Macaca mulatta: one gene and its partners. The main gene of each other region encodes a partner of the protein of the gene in region 3 in a complex. Links are inferred from orthologs where the notes say so. Each region holds a gene or a part of one and is shown on either strand. Other genes may lie near its edges. The genes, in order: CFAP276, PIERCE1 and TUBA1A.

The links.
Region 1: the proteins of TUBA1A (region 3) and CFAP276 are in contact, whole or in part, in a cryo-EM structure (PDB 7UNG), measured with the Homo sapiens proteins. The link is inferred for Macaca mulatta from reciprocal best matches to the Homo sapiens genes TUBA1A and CFAP276. Residues at the interface, in NP_001257328.1 of Homo sapiens: Lys112, Glu113, Ile115, Asp116, Leu117, Leu119, Asp120, Arg123, Lys124, Asp127, Arg156, Ser158, Val159, Asp160, Gly162, Lys163, Leu195, Glu196, His197, Ser198, Asp199, Tyr262, Pro263, Arg264, Trp346, Lys430, Asp431, Glu434, Val435, Val437; in NP_001231954.1 of Homo sapiens: Pro43, Trp44, Arg46, Leu47, Asn48, Thr50, Pro51, Thr52, Ile53, Thr54, Ser55, Arg57, Arg58, Ala60, Tyr62, Asp64, Ile67, Pro68, Lys69, Asp70, Asp71, Phe74, Arg75, Lys90, Ser91, Leu94, Leu95, Asn96, Lys98, Thr99.
Region 2: the proteins of TUBA1A (region 3) and PIERCE1 are in contact, whole or in part, in a cryo-EM structure (PDB 7UNG), measured with the Homo sapiens proteins. The link is inferred for Macaca mulatta from reciprocal best matches to the Homo sapiens genes TUBA1A and PIERCE1. Residues at the interface, in NP_001257328.1 of Homo sapiens: Met1, Arg2, Gln15, Asn18, Ala19, Glu22, Cys25, Leu26, Glu27, His28, Gly29, Ile30, Gln31, Pro32, Asp33, Met36, Pro37, Asp39, Lys40, Asp46, Asp47, Ser48, Asn50, Glu77, Gly81, Thr82, Tyr83, Tyr224, Thr225, Asn228; in NP_001041730.1 of Homo sapiens: Tyr28, Pro35, Gly36, Arg37, Phe38, Trp43, Phe44, Arg45, Gly46, Tyr47, Arg48, Thr58, Ser59, Asn60, Gln61, Ala62, Tyr63, Gly64, Arg66, His71, Glu72, Pro74, Phe77, Tyr78, Pro79, Asn80, Ser81, Asn82, Lys83.

What each region holds. Positions count from the first base shown.
Region 1 is NC_133406.1:131,102,386-131,109,116, reverse strand, and holds the start of CFAP276 (cilia- and flagella-associated protein 276), read right to left. Parts: upstream 3,175-6,731; 5' UTR 2,914-3,174; coding exon 2,833-2,913; intron 1-2,832. Other genes in the region: endosome/lysosome-associated apoptosis and autophagy regulator 1, read left to right, coding at 4,368-4,514. UniProt on the Homo sapiens protein: Microtubule inner protein (MIP) part of the dynein-decorated doublet microtubules (DMTs) in cilia axoneme, which is required for motile cilia beating. May play an important role for the maintenance of myelin-axon integrity.
Region 2 is NC_133420.1:7,004,163-7,010,793, reverse strand, and holds part of PIERCE1 (piercer of microtubule wall 1 protein), read right to left. Parts: intron 6,019-6,631; exon of another isoform or gene 5,482-6,018; coding exon of another isoform or gene 4,890-5,481; intron 3,329-4,889; coding exon of another isoform or gene 3,199-3,328; intron 2,744-3,198; coding exon of another isoform or gene 2,591-2,743; intron 2,401-2,590; coding exon of another isoform or gene 2,358-2,400; exon of another isoform or gene 2,330-2,357; intron 1,144-2,329; exon of another isoform or gene 1,134-1,143; 5' UTR 1,129-1,133; coding exon 986-1,128; intron 1-985. Other genes in the region: MRPS2 (small ribosomal subunit protein uS2m), read left to right, coding at 2,358-2,400, 2,591-2,743, 3,199-3,328, 4,890-5,481. UniProt on the Homo sapiens protein: Microtubule inner protein involved in the attachment of outer dynein arms (ODAs) to dynein-decorated doublet microtubules (DMTs) in cilia axoneme, which is required for motile cilia beating.
Region 3 is NC_133416.1:56,350,519-56,357,249, forward strand, and holds the start of TUBA1A (tubulin alpha-1A chain), read right to left. Parts: upstream 3,820-6,731; 5' UTR 3,730-3,819; coding exon 3,727-3,729; exon of another isoform or gene 3,171-3,726; coding exon of another isoform or gene 3,168-3,170; intron 1,523-3,167; coding exon 1,300-1,522; intron 1,178-1,299; coding exon 1,029-1,177; intron 714-1,028; coding exon 1-713. UniProt on the Homo sapiens protein: Tubulin is the major constituent of microtubules, a cylinder consisting of laterally associated linear protofilaments composed of alpha- and beta-tubulin heterodimers.

The DNA of each region.
Region 1 (6,731 bases), on a different chromosome or scaffold from region 3:
CACCATGTTGGCCAGGCTGGTCTTGAACTCCTGACCTCAGGTGATCCACTTGCCTCAGCCTCCCAAACGCCTGGAATTACAGTCATACCTTAATTGAACAGTGTGTATCAGCCACTGTGCTATCACCAAGAATAATGAAGTATGAAAGAAAGAAAGCTACAGGTATTTGATGCCAGCATAGGCTCAGTTATCCTTTGATGTGGCCCTGAGCAGCACTCCTCCCACTCTCCTTGAAGACCACTTAAACCTCGTCATCTCTGTCAGCAGAAGGATGAGATTGTCTTTCACTGAGAAAGTCCAGACTGTCAAGCACGAATGTCATCTTTACATCCACTTTCTTTCCATCTCAGGGAAAGGAAAGTCCCTTTTACTCCCCGGACCTACACTTCCCCGTGCTTCTGAGACCTGTACCATTCTGCATATGCTCTTTTCTGACCCAAGCCTCTCTTCATTTCTTTGTCATGGTCTAGCTACCAGCCTATCACTTTCCCTACACAACCAGACCTTTTCAGGAGTCAATATTTACTCTCTCTACTTCCTCACTCACCATTCCCATGCCCTCTTTAGCTCACTGTAGTCTGGCCTCTGCCTCAAGCACCCCCTAAAACTGCTCTTGCTAGTTATCAGTGAACTCTGTGGCCAGTTCAGGTGGATCCTTTCCAGGCCTGATCTTATTTGAACTCAGCTGTTTCTGACATCATAATGCTGATTCCCTCAAATGCCCACACCATGCTGTGTGGGCCCAGCTCCTCTGGGTTTTCCTCTTATTTCTGGCCCTTATCTCTCAGCTACTGTCTCAGCTCCACTTTCTCTCTGTCCCTTAGACAGTGCTATTCTCCAAGGGTCTCGTTTTTGCTTTTCTTATGCTCACATCCACTGGATGAGCTGACTCCCTTCCATGGCTTCAACTACTATATGGATACCGTAGCTCATATGGATACACAGCTCCATCATACATCTTCAATCCAGAACTCTCAACCCTGTTGCTTACTATTGATCTTCACTTAAATGTCCCACAGTAGACTACAAAAACGTCTACATAATTGATGTTTCTCAACATCTTTCTCCCCAAACCTGCTTCCCCAGGATGCCCCATTTCAGTGAACCCTCAGAATTAAACCCTTAGGAACCTAGCAGTTATCCTAGACTCACCTCCTCTCTTGGGCCCGTATCCAGTCAGTCCCCAGGTCCTGTCAGTCCTGCCCTGTGCACTTTTCTCACATCTGCACCTGATCTCCATCCCCTGTGGTACTGCTGTAGATCCATTACTCTTCCTCCTGGAGATCGCCTCACTTGCCTCCTAACTGATCCCTCTTGTCTCACTCTCATCCTATCCAGTCTGCTGCCACTTGTGCTTCCTAAAACACCCATCTGATTGTGTCACTTGGTACTTAAAATCCTGCTATGGGGCTGGGACCTACGGCTCATGCCTGTAATCTCAGCACTTTGGGAGGCCAAAGCAGAAGGATCACTTGAGGCTAGGAGTTTGAGACCAGCCTGCGCAACAAAGGAAGATCCTGGTTCTACAAAAAAATAAAATAAGAATTTGCCAGGTGTGGTGGCACCACCTGTGGTCCCAGCTACTTGGGAGGCTGAGTTGAGAGAATTGCTTGAGCCCAGGAGTTCGAGGCTGCAGTAAGCCAAGATTGCACCAGTGTAGTCCAGCTGGGGTGACAGAGCAAGGAGACCCTGTCTCAAAAAAAAAAAAAAAAAAAAAATCCCACCATGATTCCTCACATACCTAGAATGAAACCATAGCTAGCTAGCTAGCATGGTGTACACAGCATACCCAGCCCACCAAGGGCATCTCCCAGCTCTGATCTCTGAGTGCCTCCATTTCATGCCTGCACTCCAGCCCTTCTGGATTATTTGCAGTTCCCCAGACAAGCCATTCTCTCTCTCCTTTCCATGTATTTGCACCTGCTGCTCCCTTTGCCTTGCATATCTGGTTCCTGTTTCCTTCTTCCTAACTCATATTCTACCCACTCCCTCACCTGGCCTACCTAACTCATATTTGGACATCAAAATGCATCTGCTCTGTGAAGCTTTCCTTTAAGTTCCTGGTTCTCACGGCACCCTACACACAACTCTGTCACAACATGTGCTGTTGTGCAAGCATTTTTGCTATTGTCGGTCTATCTTTACTACTAGAGTTCCTTAACAGCAGAAGCTACATCTAATTTATTTATATATCCTTGGTGTCTAGCAGAGTGTCTGGATTATAGTAAATAAGTATTGAATAAATAAAAAGGGGCTCTTAATATTGTTATTAGACAACAATTACCACTTAATTCATCTTATTGTGCACCACTTCAAATATCCCAATCACTCCTACCAGAAAAAAGATCATCTAAGTTCCTAAATCAGTGACCACCATCATGCTAAACACACACATAACAAACACATTGTGGTGTTAACCAGAAGACAGAGACAGTGTGAACACAGATGTATAAAGCATGACCTCTGGTGACTTTCAGAGGATTCTCTCCCACTCCATATCTCATTTCTCTTCAGAGAACAGTCTTCCCAACAGGGAAATGGGTAGCTTGAAGGAACCTGGGCCCTCCCATAACTTATACTCACAATTGATTTGAGTTGCCAGAGCCCCTTGTTCTTCTAGACTAGAGCTCTACTTTCCCCTGCTCAAAAACTCCTCTGAAACGTTAGCCAACCTGAATATGGAGATAGGGAGGCAGGCAGAAAACAGACTTCTCTGGTACCCGACTGAGTGTCTTCACCAGAGTGCTTTATGTTACCATCTCTGCCCATCACACTGACAGAAAGAAGACTATCGGTGACCCTACTAGGAATCTGCGCAAGAAACCACAGTACCTTGGAAGCCCGCAGTTCTCCTAAGTAGGAATCATCGTTATCTAATGTAGGCTGCTGGAAAGGGTCCCGGGTGGGAGGCATGGCTAAATGCCTAACTCTTCTAAGAGGGATGGGAGGTCCGCTCAGCCGCAGCACAGCCTCACTCGCATATGATCCCGGGTCCCAATTGTTTGAAACGCTGGTTTCGGTTGCCAGGCAACTGCCCAGCCATCTAAGACAGAGGAATTCCCTCCGAGGAGGGCGCCACCTGGCGGCTGACCGCGGGAGGCCTCTGGGGAGGATGCTCCGGGGAATGCAGAGGGAAAGCGCCGCTGAGTGGGCCCCGAGCCTTGGAATTGCACTCCTGAGCCTCGGCGGAAAAGCGCGGGCCGCTCACCATCACGACTTCTGCAAAAGATTTCAGTTGAGGAAAGAAGTCCTTAAAGATGACCCAGAAATTTCCTTCTGGCTCGCACCTAACAAAAGGCTTTCAAAGCCATGAGAGAATGAGGATGTCAAGAGACCAAAGAGGGCCGGGCGCGGTGGTTCACGCCTCTAATCTCAGCACTTCGCGAAGCGGAGGCGGGCGGATCGCTTAAGCCCAAGAGTTCGAGACCAGTCTGGGCAACATGGCGAAACCCCGTCTCTACAAAAAATAGGAAAAAGATTAGCTAGGCTTGGTGGCACGCGCCTGGAGTCCCGACTACTCAGGAGGCTAAGCCAGGAGAATCTCTTGAACCCCGGAGGCGGAGGTTGCAGTGAGCCGAGATCGCGCCACTGCACTCCAGTCTGGGTGAGAGAGTGAGACCCTGTCTGGGGGCGGGGGACGGGGTGGGGGGGGGCACGTGCGGTACTTGGAAAATTGCGGCTAAGGCAAACTCCTTGCTTAAACTCCGATCAACTGCAGTGTCAGGGCTTCTCATCTAGCCGGTTGTAAAAGCACGGATGGATTTGGCGGGATGTAAGATCTCCAAGAGTGGCCTTCGTAGGAGGGAACACGTACTGGGGCCTCTTCTAGGCGACGACTTCTGGAGGGTGCTCTCTCCATCTTCTTTCTCTCGGTTCACATGCCACGTGTACAAAATCAGATATGCTCATAAAATAACCCCTAGCCCGAAAGGGCTGTAGAAAACGGAAATTTGTTGGCGCTGGCCTGGAGGATGCTTCCACCGCGTTCTTCACACGAGCCCGGGGCATGCCTGTTGGGCCGGTTGCGCACCCCGGGCGCGCGCTCTCCCGCGCCCACGCCGCGCGCACCAGCTGCGGCGGCTGCCATGGCGACCCGCAGGTGAGCGACAGAGGCGCGCGTGGTCCCTGCCCCACCCGCGCAGAGCCAGAGAGGAGGCGGTTGTCAAGGCGACGTGGGTAGGAGGAGAGGACTGAGGGAGGAGGAAGGATGGGCGGTGTTGGCGTAGCCGCAGGGAGGTGACTGGAGCGAGCCTGGCCTCTTGCATCCCCTCCCTGTGTACCTCCCTCCCCTTTTTTTCCGCCTTCTGCCAGCAGAAGCAGCAGCCGCAGCACCTGAGCCGCTACTGCCGCTCACTCAGGACAACACTATGGCTGAGCCTGGCCACCGTCTCTCCGCCAGAGGCAGGGGAACAACTGAGAGGCGCACACCCTGGCTGTTGCGGCTGCTGCTCTGGGCTGGGACCGCCTTCCAGGTGACCCAGGGAACCGGACCGGAGCTTCACGCTTGCAAAGAGGTACTGCCGCCCCCCTACCCGACCCCGCTTTGGTCACAAAAGTCTTGGATCCAGGCGGAGACCTTGGGGACACAGGCGCAGAGAGTTTCAGACGCCACAGAGTTTAGATTTCTTTGGGGATGAGGCATGGGGGGAGGGAAGAGGAGCCAGTCTGGCGTCATGAGGAGGCCAGCACATTGGAGGACTCACGGATAGATCAACCTCACAGCTTGGGATGCTGAGCTCAGCGAGAAAGGTCCCAGCCCCAAGAAGGGGAGCTACCTGGGTACCTGAACTCAGAATGAGGGAGGAAGACGAGTTGTTTTCCAGCTGGGATGAATTCATCTTAAAAGTGGTTGACAACAAAAGATTATGCACAGAGAGGCAAAATAGGAAGAGGAAAGGAGAGTAGTGGGAGAGGAAAGGAGTTAGGAAGGCCAGAAAAAAGTACCGGAGCGAAGTGATTTTATCATGGCTACACAAAACGGAGTGTGAAGGTGGGAGATGTGCGAGAGGGATGATAGGATCCCAGCTCTCTAGTTCCTTGTTTGTTAAACATCGGTTAGTGAAGACTGTTAAATGTGGCTTCTCCTTATAGCTTGGCCTCCCCGCAGCGTACTATGTTTAGTGTACCTGACAGCACACGACTCACCTTTCTGCAGATTTTGAGTTCTTCAATATCTTGTGTTCTGCCAACCTCTGGTCTCCTCTCTGACTTCTGCTAACATATGTCAAAGTCTTTTTCAAGGTATTTCCAAAATGTTGGAAGCAGAATTCAGACAATAGGTAGTCAATGTCTTATAACCAAAAATATCTTTTGAAAAGTCATCTTGGAAGAATGCAAAAGGGCACTAGGAGCAACAAAACAGTCTTTTCTCTATTATTGAAATAACGATATTTGGTTGTGCTCTGAGCAACTTTTTTAGAAACCATATGGCAGAGGCAACAAGATATTTACAAGAACTACGTTGGGGAAGGCAAAATGAAAGTTCTGTTATTTCTGTGGAATGTGAAGGACTAAGGTTTTGAGAGGTTAGTGTATATATATATATATAAAACTTTAAAATATATATGTTTTAAAATAGAAATGAGGTTTCAATATACTGCCCCGGCCAGTCTCTAACTCCTGGGCTCAAGCGATCCTCCCACCTCAGCCTCCCAAAGTGCTGGGATTATAAGAATGAGTCACTGCACCCAGTCCAGAATATTTTTTATAAATTGTTAGTGTGAACTGATTGCCAACAATAACTCCATCCCTTATGGAGATATATTCTTATAAAGATGTTCTGAGTCTACAGTATAGCAGGTCATAAAGAAGTCAGGTGTGGGGGGAAGGATTTTTGTGTGAATAAAGATACTTGATTTTGAAGATTCATGAATATGATATAAGTGACCCCAGTGAGTGGGACTTTTGATAACCTTTATTAGCCTCAATGACAACCTGCCCTGGGCCATCTACATTTCCACCCAGCTACATAATGACCTGTTTTAGAGATGGCAGAGAACAGGATGATCTTATCAGTGACTCTGGCTCACCGGCCTTGATGGCCTGTGGTCTAACCAACCAAAATAATGAGACGAAGAAAGCCCACTTGCCTAAGAATCAAACAAGGGAGTCTCCTGAGTGGAAGGTAAGAATCATACAGTTTAACTACCAATTCTTGTTGAGATCTTTGTCAACAATGGAAAATATGAGACATTTCAGAAATTAAGCACTTCTATTATCTTGATTTGGAGGAAGAGAAGAATATTGATACTTGAGAACTTGAACTTGCGTACGAATTTTGCCTTTGGTCTTGTTTGAATAACCAATATTTGCCTAAGCAAAAGGTCTTACCGCAAAGAGTAAGCTTAGGGTAGTGGAAAGCTATGGAGCTCAACCTACCAGGGTTTTAGTCCTGTTACTTACCACATGGTTTTTGGATTTGTAGAATGGGTATCAAAATAACACCTACCTCAGAAAGGATTGCTTTGAGTATTGAAATAGAAAATACATTGGAAACACAAAATAGAGTTACCTGCCCTTCTTCCCTGTTCAGCTTCTTTCCCATTATATCCACACTCATGCCAGATTGGAAATGGCTTAGGAGGCAGGCCCATTGACCGCAGGCGTCAGCAAGTCCTGTTTACATTCTCCTTGAGCAAACAGTGGCCATTGAACACCCTCAACTCCAAAACAATCAGGGAGAGAATAAGCCCATTATTATAGTATTCATTTGGCAATATGAACTGATCAAA
Region 2 (6,631 bases), on a different chromosome or scaffold from region 3:
CACAAGCCACAGCCTTGCATTTGGTTGACAGCACTCCACTGGAAATGCCCCCAAAGAAAGAGCAATGTGCTTGGGCTGGTGATGCAGCCTCAAAGGCAGCCTCTGGGAGTACCTGGCTGATGACCGTTCTGAATGGCCCGGCCTCCCCTGCCCCCTCTGCTCACCACGGTCCCTGCTCTTCCAAGGCAGGCCAAAGCCCTAAAGAGCAGGCAGCCAGCAAGTGCTGACCCCCAGCCCTGGCAGGACCTTGGCACATGCTGCAATTTCTGGGTAACTTAGCCTGTCAGGAGCGGAGGCTTGGCCTCCAGACTCTGCCACCCAGAGGGTCCCTCTGCCTTTAGCCCCCACCCTCGCTGAGGTGATGCTTCTCTCGGTACCACTGCCCCTACCTGTCAGTAGGACAGGCTACTGAGAGGCTGCAGGCCCACACCTTAGCTCTACTTTATACTCCTAGATCTTGGCCAAGTTGTTCTTTCTACATTCCAGTCGTCTCAATGGGAGAACGAGGATACTAACAGACCCTGCCCTAGAGGACTGTTGAGGGACCACATGTGTGAGCACGGCAAGATGCTTGCACCTGCCTACAGGAATTTTCTTACTGCTTCTTAGCCTGCAATGCCCTGTGGCAGCTCACAGCTGGCTGAGTAGACTTGCTGCAGGTGCTGCTGTGCTCACGCCCCGCAGCGGGGTTTCAGGGTAGAGAGGCGAGGAGACTCACCCGACACAAAACAGTAGAGCTGAGACCACAACTGGATTTTCTCCCCCCTACGGCCCTGCCTCTCACTGACCCTATTCCCACTTCCTTGTATGAGGCTCTGGGGAGCACTTTCGTTGCTCACTAGTGGGCGATGACAGCGCGGGCCCCGGATGACCCCTCGATCCTCTTGATTTCTGCAGCTAGGACCTTGGGGGTCTTGCGGGGTCTCTCACACACGGGGCTATCGAGCAGTGGACGCCAGGACCAGGCGCGCCCCAGCTTCCTCACCTGTAGCCCCGGAACCACCCTGGGTTGTTGAACCTGCCCGGCAGGTCCGCGCTTACGCGGTAGTAGTCGCTGGTCCTCTCAGGCGGGGCCGTGGCCTTGGGCTCCACAGGCTCCGCGCACGCTCTGGGGCTTTCCTCCGCCATTGCGCGTCGAAAAGCAGGACTCGGCGGCGTCCTGTTGCCAAGCGACGGCCAGGTCACGTGACTGGGGCGGAGCGGAGGGGCCTTAAAGGCGCCGCGCGTGGGCGGTGCTCCTCCGCGGGCGGGTCGGGAACCTGCCGAGCGAGTCCCCAACGACTGGGAAGGTCGGGACGGCGAGAGATTCCCTGCTGGGACCGTTGTATGGGGCAGCCCCTGGCCCCCAGCCACCCGCGAGGGGACCGGGTCACCCCAGCATGAGGGTGTGGACTCCCGGGCGAAAGGAACCCCAGGGCCTGGGACCCCGCCAGCCGGGTGATGGGGTTTAAGCACTGCAGGTCCACTCGGCAGACAACGATTGGACGCTTGCTGTCCAATGTACTCCAGGGATGATATGCCCCTCAGCACCCCGAGTCTAAATTGAGACCCGAGATCTTGCTAACTTTATGAAATTCTCCTAAGTCAAATATCGTTTAAATATTAAAAACATGGCCGGGCGCGGTGGCTCAAGCCTGTAATCCCAGCACTTTGGGAGGCCGAGACGGGCGGATCACGAGGTCAGGAGATCGAGACCATCCTGGCTAACACGGTGAAACCCCGTCTCTACTAAAAAAAATACAAAAAAACTAGCCGGGCGAGGTGGCGGGCGCCTGTAGTCCCAGCTACTCGGGAGGCTGAGGCAGGAGAATGGCGTGAACCCAGGAGGCGGAGCTTGCAGTGAGCTGAGATCCGGCCACTGCACTCCAGCCTGGGCGACAGAGCGAGACTCCGTCTCAAAAAAAAAACAAAACAAAACAAAAAAAATAAATAAATAAATAAATAAATAAATAAATAAATAAATAAATAAATAAATATTAAAAACAGTTTTGGAGCGCGAGAGGCTGCGCGGGACGTGGTTCACAGCTCACGTGGCGGGAGGCGAGGGTCCCCATCGCCCAGCGGGCTCCCCCAAAGGTCAGGGGCCTCCCGGGCTGGTGGGGCCCATTAGCGAGGCGGGGCGAGCTGCAAGGCGAGGACGGTGCCCCCACTCCCGGCCCGAGACTCTCAAGCCCGGGACCCCGGGCCCTGCCCCCTCGTCTGCCCCGCCTCCGCAGGGAGGTCCCAGCCGCCCGCGGACGGCGCTGTGGCTCCTCCGGGCCTGTAGGTGGCACTGCGGCCCCGCGCGGACGGCGGCGGGAGGGGAGGCCGCTCGGCCCGGCTCGGAGGGAGGCCTCGCTCCGCCCCGCGTCCCGGCCATGGCGACCGTCCCGGCCGCGCTGCCCCGAATGCTCGGCGCGGGTGAGCGCGCGCTTGCGGGTCCCTGGGGAGGAGGATGCAGAGGGGGCGCGGGGACCCGAGGGAGCAGCGGGGACGCGGAGGGGACTCGAGGAGGGCGCGGGGACGCAGAGGGGATCCGTTGGGGCTGCGGTGGGGGCGGGCGTGGTGCACCCGGGACGCGGCGCCAGGACGTCTGTCTGCTTCCCCCCAGGTGCCCGGGCGCCGTCGCGCTGGCTGGGGTTCCTCGGGAAGGCGACCTCCGGACCTGCTCGGTCGAGCCGCAGGACGCTTGGAAGCGCTGCGACCCCTGTGATCCGCGAGTCCGAGGACGGCACCGGTGACACTGGGCGCGCAGCCGAGTCAGGTAGGAACTAGGAGAGGCCGGCAGCCGCGGGAGATGCGAACCCTGCAGGGACCTGGGCGCTGCACGTGGTCGAAACTGCGCGCCCGGCCGGGCTCCTCCCACTCCCGTGCTGGCCACCTGAGACCACAAGGTGGGGAGGTGCCAGAAAGACCTGAGAAACCCGCTGGGCCCCTCTCTTTTTCTCTTCTGTCTTCCAAGTAAGACCAAGGGACGGGGTTGACCAGGTTCGACCAGGCTCACCCAGGAGCAAGGTCGGGATCAGAATCTGGCTCCAGCCCTCTGTTTCCTGAAAAGGTCCCTGTGCTTCCAGGTCTTTCCTGGGGCTGGGGGGCTCCCGGCTCCCCACCGCGGTGTCACAGGAGGCACTTGGGAGCAGGGGTGGGCGGGAACTGTGCTCTGCCTGTCCCTGCTGCCACCGGTGGGAGACACAGCGTCGTTCCTCCTCCCTGCCGTAGATTTCAACGACAAGATTCTGAATGAGCCCCTCAAGCACTCTGACTTCTTCAATGTCAAGGAACTGTTTTCCGTGAGAAGCCTCTTTGATGCCCGAGTGCATCTGGGACACAAAGCTGGCTGTCGGCACAGGTAGGTGACACCCCCATCTGAGCTGTAGCGGTTCCCAGGAGGGCTTGGGACCTGGGACCTGCCCTGGTTCTAGGGCCACTTTTGAACTGGCCCGTGTCAGTTTTAGGTGATTACAGCCCTTCCTCCTCCACATGGGAACACGGAGCCCCACACAGAAGCAGCAGTTCACTCCCCAGCTTGGCGGGGGCTCTTGTGTGCCTTGGGGTGGTGCTCACAGCCCTTAGTAGGGCAGGCCTGCTGGGGGATGCAGAACTCCACAGGTTCAGAAATGGAAGGGCTGAGGGCAGAGCCTGTGAGGCTGGCCCCCCCTGGATTGGGCGGGGCTTTCTGGGCTGTGGGGAGGAGGAGTGACTGGTCCTGTATTCTCACATGGTCATTTTGACTGTTGCAGGGAGAGGGGATGGGAGGGGCAGGTGGGAGGCCAGGGAGGAAGTTGGTGTGGGTGTCCAGGGCGAGGGTGGTGGGGCTTAAATCGCAGTAGCAGAAGAGCTAGAGCAGCAGGTGGACATGAGGCAGCGGGGTAGAGCCAGTGGGCCTTGGGCTGGGGTCGGAGGTGGCTGGGGCCAAAGGGATCAAACACCTGCTCTTTGCCTGGAGTTTGGTGCCGGTTACTGATGGCAAAAACCAGGGGGGACCTGGGGGCCATCACAAGCTTGGTTCCTATGAGGTGTGAACTCTTAGCTGCCCCAGTGGAGAGGTCACACGGGTACCAGGAGGGATGGGCTCCCAGGAAGCCATCAGCATCGGGGACTTGTGTTTCCAGAGCATCGGAAAAGGAGGTCGGAGGTGGAGCCCTGGGCACTTCAGTGTTTGGAGTCAGTGAAGAGGGACGGCCGGGGGTGGAGGGATGTGGTTGTCTGTTGATGCTGCTGAGAAGTGAATTCAAGGGTGTGACCTTGGCAAGATGGAGGTCGCCAGTGTCTTGATGGGCAGGGTTGCTTGAGAGGAAGGGACAGAACCCAGTGGGAGTAGACTGGAGGTGAGGACCTGGGAACCACAAACGTGGATGACCTGCCTGCCATGCACCAAGAGGCAGGGGTGCCTCCCATGCCCCGCTCTTCCTCAGCCCAGGCCGGCAGCAGTCCAGTGCCCTGGATCAGGGTTCTCCTCCCAGGCTTGGCCACTCCTGCCCTGATTCCTTAATGCTTTTGGCCCAGAGCACCCCCTAAGTCCAACCCCAGCGGGACCTTGTCCTCAAAGCCTCGGGAAGAGGAGAGTGACGGAGGGGGCTGCCCCGTGAGCCGCACGGGGCTGAATGTCCTTTTGGTGTCATGTTGGATGTCCACACATCCATATGGGGTCAGTTCTATTAGGATTCCCTCGGGAAGAGGTAGAGGGTCAGAGGGATTAAGCCATGAGATGAGGCGTGCAGGGGGGTGGCCTGGACAGGTCTGCACTGCCGTCTGTCCACACGGGGAGCGTTGCAAACTGTGCTTCCCAGCCCATAGTACCCTTGAAGAGGAGTTCGGGAGTCCCTGGTGGGCGTCTGTGTCCTGCAAGGGGCCAGTGGAGTTGGCCCGGTGAACTCTCATCCCCCTTGCCCTGGTGGGTTCTCTGGCAGGTTTATGGAGCCATACATCTTTGGGAACCGCCTGGACCAGGACATCATCGACCTGGAACAGACAGCCGCGCACCTCCAGCTGGCCTTGAACTTCACCGCCCATGTGGCCTACCGCAAGGGCATCATCTTGTTTATAAGCCGCAACCGGCAGTTCTCGTACCTGATTGAGAACACGGCCCGCCACTGTGGCGAGTACGCCCACACTCGCTACTTCAAGGGCGGCCTGCTGACCAACGCGCCCCTCCTCTTTGGCCCCGCGGTCCGCCTGCCGGACCTCATCATCTTCCTGCACACGCTCAACACCATCTTTGAGCCGCACGTGGCCGTGAGAGACGCAGCCAAGATGAACATCCCCACGGTGGGTATCGTGGACACCAACTGCAACCCCTGCCTCATCACCTACCCCATACCCGGCAACGACGACTCCCCGCCGGCCGTGCACCTCTACTGCAGGCTCTTCCAGACGACCATCACCCGGGCCAAGGAGAAGCGGCGGCAGGTTGAGGCTCTGTATCGCCTGCAGGCCCAGAAGGAGCCCGGGGCCCAGGGGCCAGCCCACCCTCCTGGGGCCGACGTGAGCCGTTCCCTGTGATGTTCACTCAACTCCTCCCAAAGCAAACCACAGCCAAGCCTGTCTGAGCTGGGAGTCCCCTTCCCCAGCCCTGGGTCAGCGGCATCCTCAGTCCTTGTTACTTACTTAGCTGACGTCACAGTGCAGACATCCGCTGTTCCGCCTCAGAACCAGTGGCTGAGCAGACCGACGTTGCCTCTGCATTTGCTCTGTGGGAAACAGAGCGCAGAGGGTGAGCGATGTGCGCAGGACGGCCCCTTGGCTGCAGTTAGGACCTCAATGGCTGGTGTGGCCGAGCTGCTGGAAGACGCTGCTGTCCCTGTGATCCGAGCAGCCCTCCCTTCACCCTGACCCCTGACCTTTGTCAGGAAGGTGCAGTTTTTCTTCTCAATCTAAATGCCTTTCAGGTGGGCTGCTTCCTTGACTGCCTGGTTCCAGGGGGCTGTTTTGTAATGAGATGCTGCAGGCAAGCTGCTCGGAGGCTCCCAGCTGGGTTGGTGGGACAGCCAGGCCAGAGGACCTGATTCCAGCAAAAATAAAACTCAGATTTGGGCAAAATGAGACTTGGAGTTTGGGGTTCTGCCTCGAGTGCGTTTGCTTTCGTCCACGTGGTGTGGCTTTTTTTTTCTCAGGCACGCACTGGGGCCCCAGTGATGGGAGATGGGACAGGCACTGTGTGTGTGAGGGGCATGAATGAGGTCAGCAGAGGTGCCAGCTCCATCTGCCACTAGAGGGCACCGTCTTCAGCAGTGGAGCTCCTGACAAGCCCACAGCCCTGCCAGCCTCATTCATCAGAACAGGCTTGGTGTGTTCCCAGTTTCAGGAAAGATGGGCACGTGCTGACAGGGACGCTTAACACCCCTCACCTGTGGGAACACAGCCGTGTTCCTGGGACAAGCTGCAACCTCCTCTCTGCCCCATCCCGAGCTGCTTAGGACCTAGGTCCCCCTCCCCCATGCACCTGACCACCCAAGGAGCCATCTGGGCAGTCTGGGCAGCAAGGCTGTATGGAGTCTGGTGCCCCGGGTAGGGCAAGGCCTACCCTGCAAGAGCAGCACAGGGCGATGGGAGGCCGGAGTCCAGCGTCCATCCCTGTCCCTTCAGGGTTAGGCTGGCGAGGGGTTCATGGTAAGGGTCCCCGGGGGTGTCACGGGTTTGTGATGTGGGCAGG
Region 3 (6,731 bases):
ACCACAGTGGGAGGCTGGTAGTTGATGCCAACCTTGAAGCCAGTGGGGCACCAATCCACAAACTGGATGGTACGCTTGGTCTTGATGGTGGCAATGGCAGCATTGACATCTTTGGGAACCACATCACCACGGTACAACAGGCAGCAAGCCATGTATTTACCATGGCGAGGGTCACATTTCACCATCTGGTTGGCTGGCTCAAAGCAAGCATTGGTGATCTCTGCTACAGAAAGCTGTTCATGGTAGGCTTTCTCAGCAGAGATGACAGGGGCGTATGTGGCCAGAGGGAAGTGGATGCGGGGGTAGGGCACCAGGTTGGTCTGGAATTCTGTCAGGTCAACATTCAGGGCTCCATCAAATCTCAGGGAAGCAGTGATGGAGGACACAATTTGACCTATTAACCTATTCAGGTTAGTATAGGTTGGACGCTCAATATCAAGGTTTCTACGACAGATGTCATAGATGGCCTCATTGTCTACCATGAAGGCACAATCAGAGTGCTCCAGGGTGGTGTGGGTGGTGAGGATGGAGTTGTAGGGCTCAACTACAGCTGTGGAAACCTGGGGCGCTGGGTAAATGGAGAACTCCAGCTTGGACTTCTTGCCATAATCAACTGAGAGACGTTCCATGAGCAGGGAGGTGAACCCAGAACCAGTTCCCCCACCAAAGCTGTGGAAAACCAAGAAGCCCTGAAGACCGGTGCACTGGTCAGCCTATTACAAAAGAGAGAAACAGAGGAAAGGTTAAGTTTTTGTTCTTTGTAGTACAATCATAGGAAATATATTTTCACTTTTCATACATCTCCCAGGATTTAGATCTTATTTTGACAAATGCTTTTTAAAAAATTCTCATTAACATTTACAAAATGATACCAAATAGTTCATTTTAACTGATAAAAACCCCACAAGAACGACTCATTCCACTCTTTATTAAAATAACAGTTCAATTCTGTTTGAAAAAAAAAAAGCAGTATTTCAAATGTGTTCTTTAGGCTCATTAATTTACTTTATTCTTGAAAAGAAACATACCAGCTTACGAATTCGGTCCAACACAAGGTCAATGATCTCCTTGCCAATGGTGTAGTGCCCTCGGGCATAGTTATTGGCAGCATCTTCCTTGCCTGTGATGAGCTGCTCAGGGTGGAAGAGCTGGCGGTAGGTGCCAGTGCGAACTTCATCTGGAGAAGGAGGGAGAGAAGGATGGAGGGAGTGGGTGAGTGGGTGACTAGCGGAGCCCCCCAGGACAGACCTCCTGTCCCAGCATCCTGGGATCTCACTTGGGTTACTGAGGTCAACTCACCAATGACCGTGGGTTCCAAGTCTACAAACACGGCCCGGGGCACATGCTTGCCAGCGCCCGTCTCACTGAAGAAGGTGTTGAAGGAATCATCTCCTCCCCCAATGGTCTTGTCACTTGGCATCTGACCATCGGGCTGGATGCCGTGTTCCAGGCAGTAGAGCTCCCAGCAGGCATTGCCAATCTGGACACCAGCCTGGCCAACATGGATGGAGATGCACTCACGCTGTGGGAAGGAAAAGTGAAAAAATTGTAAAATTAAGGCGTATTAGCATTTCAAACTTTTAGTAAACTTTTAAAAATATTTCTAATAATATACAGATATTTTTCAAAATTATTTGAGGTCACATCCCTAGCACGATACAAAGATTAAGGAAAATGACCTGCTGCAAATGCTGCATATGGGTGTGGTCTGAATAATGATGTCGCCTTGGCCCTGTTCAGCACATGGTACCAGCCCATTGTGCCTACTACCATGCTTGAATAAAAGACTTTTCATATTTAAAAAGTATTCAGTATTCAAAGCACAAATTTTGTAAAATGAAGTAAATTCAATTATGACATAATTGGGATTAATTTTACTGCTTTCTTCCCTTTTAAATAAAGAAGAAAGTTTCTTCTGAATAGGACTGACTTGATATTATAACATGGACATCTGTACTGCAGCTGAGGCAAGAAGCCACACCCTTCTGCAGTCTGTCTGCAGAATCCATCAATACAAGGGGTTTAGACAAGGTCTGCTTCTGCCTTCTGCATTGCTGCATTGCTGTATTTGCTGTGCCTGGTGCTAGCCTGTACTGTCTGCTACATTATTTAACAGAGCAAGCTCTATTTCCAGCAACTGCCTACATGATCTCATTGTGCTGTTTTGCCAGTTTTCCTCCTCTGACCCCGCCCGGGACCATGTGCCTGAATTGAAATGAATTAATGAAGATGCACTAGAACAAAAGACAACGGGATGCGGAGTATAATTCTTTGTCTGTAGCAATTTCATTCCTTTTTTTAAAGAAAAAGGTTTTTCCAGATCTTCTCCACTGTAAAAGCTGAAAAATTATCCGTATCTTAAAACACACACACACACACACACACACACACACACACACGTTCCTAAGTTAGAAACAAGCATCACATGAAAAGGTAGCAAACAAAGAATAAAAGCCCAGTGGAACGATAGTGAAATATTTATTTAAAACAACAAAATAGTATTTTAATCCTGAGATTCTCTACCCACCACATAATATTCATATTCTTTGCATCCAATAGAGGTTTTCTTCTCTGTGGTCTTTAGGGCTACCACTTTCATTGTCTATTCGCTGATGTGGTGGGGGCGGGGCGGAGGGGGGCGGCGGGGAAGGGCGTTTCCCTGGTCCTGACCATCAGGGTACCCTGGGGCTCACAAAGTGGGCTTTCTCCCTCGCTGAACGAGCAGCGCGCGCACACACACACACACACACACACACACACACACACACACACGACCATCAGGGTACCCTGGGGCTCACAAAGTAGGCTTTCTCCCTCGCTGAACGAGCAGCACGCACGCACACACACACACACACACACACACACACACTTCAGTCGGTCAGGGCAGGGCGTCCCCAGACCAGACATTAAAGAGTTTGTCAAGTGAATTGTGATTTTGCTCAAGAGAAAAAAAAAAAGGTCATCTTAATTATAATAGCGAAGAAAACCCTTTTGGAGCCTACAGTTCCGCAATGATGAAAAGTTTTTTTTAAGTCAGCTCCTGACAGAGGAGGTTTAGTGAGGGCGAACCCCGCCCAGTGGCTCCAACGCCATAGAAGCCAGAAACAAACAACCCCGCCCCTGCGCCGCCCTGACACCCGCTGCCGGGGGCTCCAGTAGAAACTCACCATGTTTCCCCGGGAATGTGTGGTTATCTTTCCAAAACGCCAACGACCGCGAGGGGTCTTCCCACGCTAACCCCAGGCTGCGCTTTGTTCCCGTTCCCCCTCCCACATCCCCCAGCTCGCCCAACGCCCCCGCTCTTTTTGGGTGCCTCCTCCTCTCCCGGTCCCCAGAGAACGAGGCGAGACAGAAAGGGGCCCCTCGGCGTCTGCGAAACCGTGCGCACAGACACTGGACCCAGCCGGGACGCCCGAGACCCCTCGGTTGCGGCAGACGGGCTGCCCGCGACCCCGAAAGGCTGTAGGACAACACAGGCGCCCAGGCGCCGCCTTTGTTCCTCCCCAGCGCTCTGCAGCGCCCTGGGCGCAGTCCTGGCCGGGTTCCTGCACCCGCACTGCGGCGGCGGCGGAGCTGGAGGATTTGGGGTAAAGCTAAACCTCACAAAACACACCACCACCCTCGCCCAGAGAGCTTACGAAAGAAAAGAGCTTAAAGATTTTCCAAGCAGAGCCTGGGGGCGCTGACTCCACCCAACGGCCACAAAGAGCCAAAGCCGATTCTCACCATGGTTGCTGCTTCGCGACTGCAGAGCAGATGGCGGAGACAAGGAGGAGAAGGTTGTTGCTTCTTACAGCGCGACTCTTAGGCGGTCGATGTAAGAGAACCTGCGGCACATGGGCGGATGCGGCTCCATATATACAACTCGGTCACCATGGGGATGGGCCGGGGCCTGTTCCTGTTGGTCCAGACCCCCAATCTGCCCAGAGAAGCCAGGACAGGAGACTGGTGATTGGTGCAAACGACGTGGGATGAGGTAATCTCTCCCCCACCCCTTTTTCTCTAGCATCCGTAGACTGTTTGCATCCTTTAGACAAAGAGACCGTGCAGAAGCATTCTGCCGAGCATCCATTATGGGGTGGGGTCGGGGAGGGGCGGAAGAAGAAAGGGGACTGGGGTTGGAAGACTTTATGTTGCTTAAACCCCAAAATGCAGTTAAAATTATCTATGTGAGGTTTTTTCCCCCTACCCTTAATAACAGATTTATGTTCAGATTAAATATTTAAAGGAAAATTACTGCCAGCCCCTCCCTCGCAGTATATTAAACTCGACTACATTTTGTTAGGGTTCAATATCTCTAATTGCTTTAAAAATAAAGTGGGAGAGAAAATGGGCGTAATGCTCAAAACGGTCTGGGTAATTGTGATTTTTTTTAATTTAAAAAAAACATTTAGTCATACAGTCATTCAAAATGGCTTCTCAGGTTCAACTAACTTATTTTCAGAGCTTCTTTTGCAGGCACATGCACACTCGAATAGCTAAATAAAACTGGAAGATGGAAATAATAACCATACTAAATAAAGAAGCGAACAAATAGTTCTAACATGGCAATAATCAACAGCAAGTGCACGTAGAGTAGTTATAATAGTTTACTAGAGGTATTCCTTTATGAGAAGTCTATGTAACACATTTTGTGTGGTGCATTGTCCTTTGGAATGAATCATCTTTCCTGATATAAAATTGGGAAAATACAAGGAGAAATAATTGAGCTCAGAAGTTAGTACTACATGTGTGCAGTTACATATCTGCACTGGACTTTTGTCTGGAAAGTAACAAGCAAAATAATAGTAATAACCAAGACACCAAATTAAAAAGAAGAAGAGAATAATATAATGTAAAAAGAAGACTATTTTGCAATGTTGCCTCCATCTACAGACAACTGTGAAACATCAGCTCAATAACTGCATTTACTTTTTATGCAGTTCTTATGTCAATTTGGTAAATATCCTCCTGCGAGTGGGCTTCTGACTGTGGGAATTTTAGCCAGCCTCACACCCTTGCTATTCAACTAGAGACTCTGGTGGTTGCTCAGTTGCCCCTTGGGACAAAAAGGCTTTGCTTTCACCCCTAGGAAATAAATTGGAGTAACATTGTCTTGCTATTTAGAAAGGCTCCATTCTCAGCAACGATGGGCTATGCAGAGTGAGTCACTGGATTTCGTACCACTGGATGTTGGTGATGAAATTTCAGAGGTAAGTAAGTTTGGCCACTAAAGTTGGAAATTTATTTTTTACAAATAATTTTTCCTTTTGGTTTTCAGCGGCAGATTTTCAGGGTGGGCAGCAACTACTCACACAGCACTCTGCGGAGCCCATTCATTCCTGCCAGGCTGGCAGGCTGAGCAGGGCGTGGGAGGGAGGGACTTGAGAATACAGCTGCTGCAGGTTGTGGTGTGACAATGGCGACCACGAATTTTTCTAGCCTGCCATCCACAGTTCTGCTTTACTTGTTCAATTTTGCTTCAGTAATATTTTCTGGAAAAAAAATAATATCCAAAATGCAAAAATCATTTTATCTACTTGTAACATATTTCCTAGGAAAAAATAATATTCAACATCATCTTATTTCCACCTCTTTAGCAAAAAAAAAAAAAAAAAAAAAAACAAAGAAAGCATATTTCAGAAGAGACAGGAGGATTAGGTATTTGAATGCTTCTTTCAGAACCCAGAAATATATTTAACAAAAATAAGAATTAAATGGCATAAGGAAGCCTAAGGATTAATAAGTAGCTCATTCAAAATACTTTCACAATTTTAATCATAAAATATATCAGACACTATTGGACCATAGCAACATGTACAAGTCTTTTTGGAATGAGAAGCAGAGCTTTGAATATTATTTTCTTTACAATATAAAAAGATTAATTGAGAAATATGTTATTTACCCAATAGTCTCATTTCTTTATGCAATTTCCCAAGATTAAATAAAAGAGAGGAGTGTTCACGTGGTTGATTCTTTGTAATTCTATCTCAGAGCCATTCTGTTCCTTATGTAAATGAGGGTTATTCCTTCTGCTTGGGCATATATAACAAGACCTAGGTCAGAAATAGACTATTTGAGCACTGATAATCTCAAATATATAAACAAAAGATCAGGGGATATAACTAATCTATAATTTTTGTTCCTTATTATCTGATTTAATAGCACACAAACTGTGGAAAGCAAAACTATTTTTCTTTACTAGTTCACCTCTTATTTTTATTGCCATTTTAAAAAACTTGACATCAATATACATGTACAAATATTCTGCTAATGGATTCATTCTTGTACACAGTAAGATTAGCATAAAACATTCTTCTTTCATAGTATTTATAGAATTTTAATCATTTATTTACATGTCTACATTTCTCCTCCATTAAAATGTAAGTCCTAGTTCCTGCCAAAGTGCCTAACTACAGTAGATGTTATACACCACGTTTGTTCAGTTAAATGAATAGCTCTCTGTGCAGTTTCCTTCCTTCCTTCCTTCCTTCCTTCCTTCCTTCCTTCCTTCCTTCCTTCCTTCCTTCCTTCCTTCCTTCCTTCCTTCTTTCTTTCTCTCTCTCTCTTTCTTTCTTTCTTTTTTTTGAGATGGAGTCTCGTTCTGTCACCCAGGCTGGAGTGCAGTGGCACGATCTCGGCTCACTGCAACCTCCGCTTCCCAAATTCAAGTGATTCTCCTGCCTCAACCTCCTGAGTAGCTGGGATTACAGGTGCTGGCCACCATGCCCGGCTAATTTTTGTGTTTTTCG